Linked DNA regions of Diceros bicornis minor. The protein of the gene in region 1 interacts with the protein of each later gene in a pairwise test. Links are inferred from orthologs where the notes say so. Each region holds a gene or a part of one and is shown in the gene's direction. Other genes may lie near its edges.

Region 1 (7,203 bases):
AATTACCTGACAAAGAATTCAAAACAACTGCCATCAAGATGTTCAGTGAGCTCAGGAAAACAACACATGAACAAAATGAGAATATCAACAAAGAAAAATATTAAAAAGAAGTAATCAGAAAATTTGGAACTGAAAAATACAACTGAATCGAAAAATTCCCTACAGGGGTTAAACAGCAGACTTGATCAAGCAGAGGAAAGAATAAGTAAACTTGAAAACAGGTCATTTGAAATTACCCAATCAGAGGAAAACAAGAAAAAAGAGTGAACCAAGCCTAAGAGACTTATGGGACATTATCGAACAGACCAACATACACATTATGGGAGTCCCAGAAGGAGAAAAGAGAGAGAAAGGAGCAGAAAGCTTATTTGAAGAAATAATAGCCCCAAACTTCCCACATCTGGGGAAAGAAACAAACATTGATATTTAAGAAGCCCAAAGGATCCACAGGAACACTAGACAGCAACACAAAAGCATATGAAAGCAAAGCTCACTGGTAAAAGTAACTATGAAAGAAATACATAATATTGTAATACTGTAATGGTGATGCGTAAATCACTTTTACTTCTGGTATAGAAGTTAAAAAACAAAAACATAAAAAATAACTACAAAAATATGCTAATGGATACACAACATAAAAATATGTAATTGTGGCATCAATGACATAAAGTGGGGAGGAGTAAAAGAGCAGTTTTTTTTTTTAAAGATTTTATTCATTTATTTATTTTCCCCCCAAAGCCCCAGTAGATAGTTGTATGTCATAGCTGCACATCCCTCTAGTTGCTGTATGTGGGATGCAGCCTCAGCATGGCCGGAGAAGCTGTGCGTCGGTGCGTACCCGGGATCTGAACCCAGGCCGCCAGCAGCAGAGTGTGCGCACTTAACCGGTAAGCCACCGGGCCGGCCCAAAGAGCAGAGTTTTTGAATGAGATTGAAGTTAAATTGTTATCAGCTTAAAAAAGATTATTATAAGATGTTTTATGTAAGGCCCATGACAATCACAAAGAAAACAGAAGATACACAATAGAAAATTAGAAAGGAATCAAAAAAAAATCAATGAAACAAAGGGTGACAGCAAGAGAGGAAAAGAGGGACACGAAAGCTACAAGATAGAAAACAATGAACAAAATAGCAATAATAAGTCCTTCCCTATCAGTAATTATTTCAAATTTAAATGTATTAAACTCCCCAATCATAAGACAGAGTGGCTGAATGGCTTAAAAAAACCCACAAGATCCAACTATATGCTGTTACAGGAGACTCACTTTAGATGTAAGAATACACACAGGCTGAACGTGAAAGGATGAAAAAAGATATTCCAGGCAAATTGTAACCAAAAGAGAACACACACGGCTCTACAGATATCAGACAAAATAAACTAAGTCAAAAACTGTCACAAGAGATTTCTATAATGATAAAAGTGCCAATTCACCAGAAAGATACAATTATAAATATATATGCAACCGATATCAGAGCACCAAAATATATGAAACAAACAGCAGACTTGATCAAGCAGAAGAAAGAATCAGGACAAACTGAAGGGAGAAATAGACAGCAACACAGTAACAGTAGGCGATTTCAATACTCCACTTTCAATAATGGATAGAACATCCAGACAGAAGATCAATAAGGAAACAGAGAACTTGAACAATACTATAGATCAAATGGACCAATCAGACATATACAGAACATTCCACCCAACAGCAGCAGAATACACATTCTTCTCAAGCACACTGGAAACATTCTCCAGGAGAGATCACATATTAGATTACAAAAGTCTTAAATTAAAGATTGAAATTATACAAACTCTATTTTCTGACCACAAAGGAATGAAACCAGAAATCAACAGCAGAAGGAAAACTGGAAAATTCACAGATCTGTAACAACCGAACAACACACTCATTCTTGAACAAGCAACAGTTCAAGTGGGTCAAAGAAGAAATTAAAAGGGAAATTAGAAAATATCTTGAGACAAACGATAACACAACATACAAAAGATTACGAGATGCAGCAAAAAGCAGTACTAAGAAAGTTTACAGTGGTAAACGCCTATGTTAAAAAAAAAGAAAGATCTTATGATAGGATGTGAAATTATAATAGGTATCAGAGAAGACAAAAACAGAGAGACTTAAGAACAGAGAGACCTGGGCAATAGGTGAAATCTAAATTGGGTCTCGTTGCAAGACTGATTGTTCGATTCCACGAGACAGGCACACAGTGGGCTGAGAAACGGGTGGAAGTGACCTGAACCTCCTAAATGGCAGGCTCGACCTCTCCTTGAGTGCGCCCTTGCCCTTGGCTATCAGGATCCTCTCCATGACTGCGGTGGAAGACGACACTCAGTCCCCACTGTGGCCCACCCAGGACCCCAGGAGAAACTCCAAGCTCCTCACCCGCGCCAGAACGGGGAACACGGAGACCACCAACATTCTTCCCGACCCGCACCGGAAACCGGCTACCCAGCCACTTCCGGCAACCCCGGGACGCCCGCCCCGCCGACTTCGGCGCAGAGGCCCTGAGCCGGAAGATGTGTCCCTGCGTATGGCGGAAGTGGCCGTGCGTGTGACGCCGGCGGCGGGGGGGGGGGGGGCGGCACCTGGGGCCGAGAGCGGTTCGCGCGCTTCGGGCCTAGTCTGGACTCGCCGCCGCCGCCGCCATATTCCCGGTAACGGGGGCGCGCGGCCGGGGGCCGGCTGGGCCGGAAGAGGGCTCGGGGCCGGCGCTGAGGCGGGGAGGGGGTCGGTTGAGTTCGGGGCGGCCTGAGTCGGCGGGCGGAGGGAGCGCGGGCCTTTGAGGGAGGGGGCCGAGGGCGCCGGGCCGGGTGTGTGGGGAGGGAGCGGGGCGGGCCTAGCCGGGGGCGAGGGCTGGGCCCGGGTGGGGAGCGGGGGCGGCTGGAGCTCCGGGACCCGCGGGGACTGTAGCCGGGGCCGCCTTGGGGCCTAGGCAGGTGCGGCGGGCTGGGGCTGCGGGCCTCGCCGCGGCGGTTCTTCGCAGCGCCGTTCGCGGGCCCCGAGGAGCTGCGGCCTGGACTTGCTCGTCGGGCCGGGGGCAGCTGCGGCGCAACTCGGGTCGGGCCCGAGGGTGATGGGCAGCGAGCCCCGCGAGCCCCGGCGGCCTGGGAGAGCGAGGGGCGGCGCGAGGCCGGGGGCGGGGCGGAGCGGGTGGGGCCGAGCTTGGGCTGCCAGGATGCTGCGTCTCTGGAGACGGGAGGCTGGCAACCATTGCCCTCCTCCCCGGCCGGGACCCTCATGCCTCCTAACGCTTGCCTCTTTCTGGGTACCGCAGTGGCATCTTTCTTACTTTGTCCCTTCTCCGGCCTCGCGATCTTCCTTCCGGAGCCATGTCAGAAGGAGTGGACTTGATTGATATATACGCCGACGAGGAGTTCAATCAGGTGAGGGGTCGTCGGGAGCCCTGGGATTTTCTTCGATCAGCTGAGGAATCACTTCCAGCAAACTTGCAGTGGTTCCAAGCTGTGCCAGTCCTTGAGGATTTACTAGGCCTGAACTCGCCTCTATTGGGTCTAAAATTTTCTCTTTAGCACAGACTTGGAAGATTTCGGACCATTCCGCTTTATGTTAATTTAAGTCTCCAGGCTTAATTTTAAAGGTTTTAAGAGCCAATACAAATCAGGTTTAACAGAGTGGTGAGTCAACCCGTGGAACTTGCTCCTCCAGGAAGCCAAAATTCGACGTCAGTCTCCTCCAAGACGAACTACACTAAAAAATCTGTTATGTTTGGTATCATATTCACAAGGGCATAGTGATACCTGTTCCTTTGCTATTCTCAGACTGCAGCTGGAGAAATGTAGTCCCCTCCCCCGTAAGGCAGTGGAAAGGAACAGTGTAAAAGATACTTGAACATTTAATTTCAGCTCCATTCCGATTGTTTTATGTCTTGCTTCCTCCTGAAAGTACCTTGAGTCCACTCTTGGGAAGTCCATAGGCATTTTGGTGTAATAAATTTTATTGCTGAGTCTGAGTTTTTGAGGTGGGGGTAAAGGTGTTGGACAAACCACATAAAAAGCAGGTACAGACTGGGGCGGCCTGGTACCGTAGCAGTTAAGTGCCGGCGCTATGCTGTGGCGGCCCAGGGTTCACAGGTTTGGATCCCAGGTGCGCACAGACGCACTGCTTGTCAAGCCATGCTGTGGCGGCATCCTATATACAGTGGAGGAAGATGGGCATGGATGTTAGCCCAGGGCCAGTCTTCCTCAGCAAAAAGAGGAGGATTGGCAACAGATGTTAGGTCAGGGCTATCTTCCTCACACACACAAAAAAGCAGGTATAGACTCACTCATATACCGTAAGTTGGATCTGTTGGGCTCTTTATGTTATATCAAGGAACATACGGAATTTTCCTTTGAAACAATAATCTCATGTTCAGTTCTGAGCTCTTGAGGTCAGATCTCAAAAATGTTCCGAAGTTTCTATTTAAAACTTACTAATATCTACCTGGATTGTTTTCAGCACCATTCTACTTGAGTAAGCTGGTTCTTCCCGTTGGTATCTGTCAATGGGTACACATGAGGACCTGGTAAGAGGATACAGAGAACAGGCTAGAGAAGGCAAGTGCCCTGGTTGGACCCTGACTTTGATATGAGGCAACAGAAGAGGTCGATACATGCCATTTTTTTCACTTGGCATAAGTTTACATAAAAAATTTTTTTTTAATATATTATGCTTTTTTTTTTCTTTGTTTTCTTTTGTGTGTGTGTGTGAGAGAGGAAGATCAGCCCTGAGCTAACATCCACGCCAATCCTCCTCCTCTTGCTGAGGAAGACCGGCCCTGAGCTAACATCTGTTGCCAGTCTTCCTCGTTTTTTTCCCTTATTCTCTGCAAAGCCCCAGTAGATAGTTGTATGTTGTAGTTGCACATCCTGCTAGTTGCTGTATGTGGGGACGCGGCCTCAGCATGGCCGGACAAGCGGTGCGTCGGTGCACGCCCGGGATCCGAACCCGGGCCGCCAGTAGTGGAGCGCGTGCACTTAACTGCTAAGCCACGGGACTGGCCCCTGTATTATGCTTTTTTAACATGGAGATTATAAAACCCACACAAAAGTAGAGTGATGTAATGACCTTGTGTCCATTATACTCAGCAGTTATACTTTGTAATAGCCATTTTCCCGTGTCTTCTCAGGTAAACTGGAGTCATCTACATGTGGCTGCTGATGGACTTAAATACATGAAAATTTTTTTTTAGTTTCAGAGAAGCCAAATAATTATTTATGGATAAAAAGAAAGGTTTAGTGGGTCTGGCCCAGTGGTGTAGTGGCTGGGACGCATAATCAGCTTCGGTGGCCCTGGGTTCATGGGTTCAGATCCTGGGTGTGGACCTCTGCACTGCTTGTCAAGCCATGCTGTGGCAGTGACCCACATACAAAAAGTAGAGGAAGATTGGTGCAGATGTTAGGGACAGTCTTCCTCAAGCAAAAAGAGTAAGATTGGCAACAGATGTTGGCTCAGGGACAATCTTCCTCACCAAAAATGAAGGAGAAAGATTAGTATATTAATTTAGTTACAGACCATCGCTTTCCTGAGTTTTGCATATTGCTTTGAATCAGACTTTTACTATTTTTTACAATTTATGGGTTATGGTTATTTTTTAACATTAAGATAGCAAATAAAGAAGGCGGGTCCCTTGTTCTTCTCTATTATTAATGAAAAGCCTTTTTTTACCCCTTAATTTCCTTATCTGTGGGTTGATAACAATGCTGCTGATTCACTTTGGGAAATGGGCAGGACGGAGGCCTTGACCACAAGTCTAGCCACATTTGGTCTGAGAAAATGAGATTTCATAATTTCTTAAGCAATATAACTTGTAGGTCATAGATGAGACACAGGACTTGTCCAATGGTCACTGCTTTGTCAGGGTAGAAGTCATTGACCTCAACAATTTGCTCTCTGGTCTCTAGTTAAAAAGGACTATTTTTATGGGTCTACAGTAGGCTGAAGATAGTGTGTGGAATGTAGTAAACATTTATACCAAACTGACAATACTTGATGCTTGGCAAGTTGAAGAAATTGTAGTTTTTGAATATCTTAAGTCTTAATGGAAGGTTGGGGGGGGTACTTTGTTCTGCATAAATGAGTTAATTTTTGGCAAAGCTGGTTTTAGTGTAATTTGGAGGCTGATAAATGATAAAAACTCTGTCTGGTTAGGATTGTTAGGAGCAGGCTTAGACTGAGGGCAGCCAGTACAGATTGTGTTTTAGAGTGTTTTAAGAATTTTACTGCTTGGCCCCAAGCTGACTTGTGCGCAAGAACCCCATCGCATGTACTTTGCTTGTGGAAAATGACCACAGTTTGTAGATGGAACCCTATGATGCTGACTCCCTGATCTCACAACCTGTGCCACAAAAGCTTCTGTAGCGGAGCTCCTTTACTCCTGTTATATCGGGAGTCTTGGGATTTACAGTTGCTCTCTTGGGCTGGGGAGAAGAACTCTGGAAAAGCAACTGAGCTGCCGCTCTGCTGCATGTTTTGTCTCTGTTCCTTGTGCTGAGACAGGTGCTTTGCACAGTAGGCCCAGTTCTCTTCCTTACTTCCAGCAACAAGCATTTATTAAGTTACTTGTGTTTGCTAGGCCCTGTGTTGAGACTAGTGAAGTGAAAGGAAGAAAAAAATAGATGCCTGTGCTCAAAAGAGTTTCTGTTCCCAGTGGTTGAGGGCAATGGTCAGTGACAGGGAAGGAGGGTGTGACATGAGAACAGTAATTATGAAGCCAAAAACTTTGAGCTTTGGTTACAATTAAAAGAAACGATGGGGGGGCCGGCCCGGTGGCATAGTGGTTAGGTTTGCATACTCCACTTCCGTGGCCCAGCGTAGGCAGGTTTGGATCCTGGGCACGGACCTATGCGCTGCTCATCAAGCCATGCTGTGGCAGTGTCCCATATCAGGTAGAGGAAGAGGGGCACGAATGTTGGCCCAGGGCCAGTCTTCCTCAGCAAAAAGAGGAGGATTGGCAAGGGATGTTAGCTCAGGGCTAATCTTCCTCACATACAAAAAAAAAGAAACAGTGGTATCAAGTAGATTGCTTTGAGAAAAATAAATTCTAGGCTTTATTCCCTCAACTATCAGGAAAAGGGGGCTGGAGGTAGGAACCTTGAGCATACCGGTGGGGAGGTTCTTATGTAAATTCAAAATCCTGCTAGTACTCTTGTTAACCAAGAAGCTTCATAAGACAATCACAGTTCTTCCTATG
Region 2 (3,600 bases), on another chromosome or scaffold:
TCTAAAAAGGTGTACTGTCAAGTGAAAATAACAAGCATAAATAATACACTGTGCTTCATTCGTCCTGAACATTCTAGGTCCCATTCTATTGTTCAGACTAAAACATGAGGAAACGAGACAGAAAAATCCTGCCTTCCTACCGTTTATGTCCCAGTATTAATAAACAACGCCCATAAATATAAACTATATTACAACGCAATGACGCCTATGGCAAAAACAAAACAGGGAAGGAGGATAAAATACGGAGAGAGATTGCAATTTTAAGTAATCATTTAACTAAAGACACGGGGAAGGGTGAACGGGGCAGAAAACACGCGCAAAGGCCCTGACGGCGGTGCCCGTGCACGAGGGGGATCCTCCGTGCGGCGCTGGGGGTCAAGAGGACGCATTAGGACGCGAAATCAGAGGAGCAGGCTGGGGGTCCCGGGAGAACCTCAGCTTTCCCCCCGGCGCGCTGGGCACCCGCCGCGGGTCTCGGAGCACAGGACGGCCCTGATCCGACTCACGGTCACAAGGTCACTGCGGCCGTTGCCGCGGACACAGCGCGGGGAGCCCGGGGGAGGTCCCGACGGTACCCCGGGGCGAGCAGGGAGGACGCAGGGGACGCCGGCGGGCGCACCTTGCGGGTGACGTTGTGCACGTAGGGGCAGGTATTGCAGGCGAAGCGGTGACAGCGCTGCCCCTCCTCCACGATCAGCCCGTTCCCGCAACCCGGGCAGAAGAGCAGCATGGCGGCTGCCCAGCCGCCGGCTCCCAGCAGACGCCCGCGCCGCGCCCCGCCGACGCAGGCCCGCCTCGAGCTCTCATTGGTCCTGGCGGCCGCCCCGCCCCTCGGCCCGCCAATGGACGCGCCGATTTCGCGCTCCCAGCGAGCACTGCGGCAGGCCGCCTGGTCCCTGGACGCTGCGGGCTGGGCTGTGGTTGCGGTCCCCGCGCGCGCCCCTCCGTCGCGCTGACCCGCGGTGCGGGCGGGTGCGGCGGCGGCGGGGCGCCCTGGAGGAGGAGGTGGCGGCGGCGGGGCCGGAGGAAGATGAGGACGAAGAGGAGGCGCTGCCGCACTCCGAGGCGGTGGACGTGTTCCAGGAGGGTCTTGCCATGGTGGTGCAGGACCCGCTGCTCTGCGACCTCCCGATCCAGGTGCGCGCGGGCCGGGGGGCGGGCGGCGGGGCGTGGACAGCCCCCCGACGTGCCGCTGGGGCTGCGGCGCGGAGGCCTCAGGAAGGCGCCTCTGGGCGTCAGCGGGGGGTCTTAACCCGGGCCGGGCCCAGGGTGGGGCGAGCGAGAATTCAGAGGGGCGCCAAAAACCCGGTATACATGGGGTCAGGTGACGGGATGTTTTACTACGACATTTTTAAAACTCAAAGGTAGTGTAGGAAAGCCGATGGTAAACAAAGTAATAAAATTGTAAATGAAAACCAGACCAGTATTACTGGTTTCTCTTCTCAAGTTTCAATATGGTTTGGCACCGTCCTGCGTTTAAGTCTTTGTCACTTTGCCCATCATGGGGTTTTTAAGTTAACTTCTATTTCCTTGAAAGTTGCACTGAAATGTTTATCGTTACCATGTTTTTGGCGCCCCGGTAAATTCTGCACACCTGCCTCAGCCTTGTCCCGAGGCCCTGGCCTGGATCCTGGCGATCCAGGGCTCTCATACTGGACTGTCCAGCCTCTGGGTAGAGGATCCCGGGGTGGATCCTCACGTTGGTTCGTTCCCCTGGTCTGTGTCTATGCTGCGTCCTCCCGAGCCTCTGTCCACTTTAGGCATTAAACAGAAAGTGTGGATGGAACATGAGAGTGGAGTGACAAGTGGGGAAACGTGTAAGAACCTTGTCCCTTTCTTGTATTTGTAAAGCGTGGCCCCACTTTTTGGACACTGTCAGCTTGTTTTTCTTGGTTGTTGTTCGGGGCGGTAGAGAGCCAGGGCTCCCCCATCCACCCTTGGTCTTTTCCAGGTTACTCTGGAAGAGGTCAGTTCCCAGATAGCACTGGAGTACGGCCAAGCAATGACAGTCCGAGTGTGCAAGATGGACGGAGAAGTCATGCGTAAGTGCCGCCCCCTCCCTCCGGGCAGCGCCGTCTGAGCTTCACAGGGGCAAGAGGTTAGCAGGGCTGCTCAGTGGGAAACGCAAGGGCCATGCCCGGGGGGTGTTGGAGCAGCCGCAAGCCCACCCTGCCCGGATTTCAGCCTTAGTCGGGCCTCTGAGTCCTCTCCTGTCATCTGAGGCTGTAGCTGTGTTCCCACTGTGGATCTTTTCCCGTTTGTGTCCCCCGGTTGCAGCCGTGGTTGTCGTACAGAACGCCACGGTGCTGGATCTGAAGAAGGCCATCCAGAGATACGTGCAGCTCAGGCAGGAGCGTGAAGGAGGCATTCAGCACATCAGCTGGTGAGTGGAGCAGCGGGTCCCTGCAGCCCTCCTGGGGGCTGATGTGGGCCTCCACATGCACACCTGCCGGATGTGCGCTCTTAACCACCTGGCTCTACTACAGTGTACCAACTGGAGCGATGGGCTCCCCCCGAGCCGTTGGGCGGGTGGGTGCTCCTGGGCCTGGGAGTCCTGCCTCAGATGCTCCTCATCCATATCACACTGCACAGGCAGCTGGGTGGGTCTTCACTTGGGGACACCTGGGGCGTTTCCAGTGTGTTTGGAAGTGGTCTCCCTAGCTGTGGATGGTGCAGCTGTCAGCAGCCCCACCCCTCCTCACCTGGGTGCTGTCAGTCCTCCCGTTTCATTAGCAGAATGTTTGGCTGCCAGGCACCCCACACAGCGTTTTGAGAGCAGTGCCCCCTTGTGGCTGCCCTGGTCCCTACAGAGCCGAGCGCCTGGAGGCTTTCTCACACACAGCTTTGGCCTCCCAGCTGTCCAGCTCACCCTGCTCACGGCTTACCTGAGTCCCCATCTTGCAGGTCCTACGTGTGGAGGACGTACCATCTGATCTCTGCAGGAGAGAAGCTCACAGAGGACAGGAAGAAGCTCCGAGAGTGAGTTCAGGCCACATCCTGAGCTGCAGGGAGGCATCTGGACTGTTGCCTGTAGTTCCACATGCTCGGCCAGAAGCCTGGGCCCCTCAGGAAGGAGGGATCATAAATCAGTCCCTGGGGAGTGTGTGAGACAAGGAGAGTCCCTGGCTGGACTGACACCCTCCTGCAGGGAGCTTCCGGGGCCTCCCTGCCAGCAGAAGGAGAGGGAGAGCAGGGGTGAGGGGCCTCGGCTTCTCACAGTGGCGGTTCAGGGCTGCAGAGCCAGCAGGAGGGAGATAAGGGTGTCCATGGAGTTGAAAGGCTGCCCGCTGGTACAGTGTGGGTCTGTGGAAGGACAGCCACTACCACCTCCTTGCCTTCCTGGATGCCACATGCTTCCCACCTCTTCTTTCTTGGTCCCTCACAGGCTTCAGGGGAGGGGTCACAAACGTCCCCTCTGTGGATCAGACAGCTGACAGCTTTTCTTCTCTTTCAGTTATGGTATCCGGAATCGGGATGAGGTGTCCTTCATCAAAAAGCTGAGGCAAAAGTGAACCTCCAGACAAGGACGACTCTGTGTGCTGGTGGCTGAGCTCTTCCCCAGCAGGAAGAAGTCTGGAGCCACTGTCCCTTTCTCACAGA

What was found.
Region 2: the proteins of CPSF7 (region 1) and SNRNP25 interact in binary tests that used the Homo sapiens proteins (3 or more experiments, as listed by UniProt). The two-hybrid records come from large-scale screens. The link is inferred for Diceros bicornis minor from reciprocal best matches to the Homo sapiens genes CPSF7 and SNRNP25.

What each region holds. Positions count from the first base shown.
Region 1 is NC_080770.1:11,868,866-11,876,068, forward strand, and holds the start of CPSF7 (cleavage and polyadenylation specificity factor subunit 7), read left to right. Parts: upstream 1-3,250; intron 3,251-3,285; 5' UTR 3,286-3,340; coding exon 3,341-3,394; intron 3,395-7,203. Other genes in the region: proline-rich protein 2-like, read right to left, coding at 2,456-3,250.
Region 2 is NC_080765.1:48,217,350-48,220,949, reverse strand, and holds the start of SNRNP25 (U11/U12 small nuclear ribonucleoprotein 25 kDa protein), read left to right. Parts: upstream 1-942; 5' UTR 943-1,095; coding exon 1,096-1,137; intron 1,138-1,951; coding exon 1,952-2,042; intron 2,043-2,277; coding exon 2,278-2,383; intron 2,384-2,904; coding exon 2,905-2,979; intron 2,980-3,454; coding exon 3,455-3,512; 3' UTR 3,513-3,600. Other genes in the region: POLR3K (DNA-directed RNA polymerase III subunit RPC10), read right to left, coding at 620-730.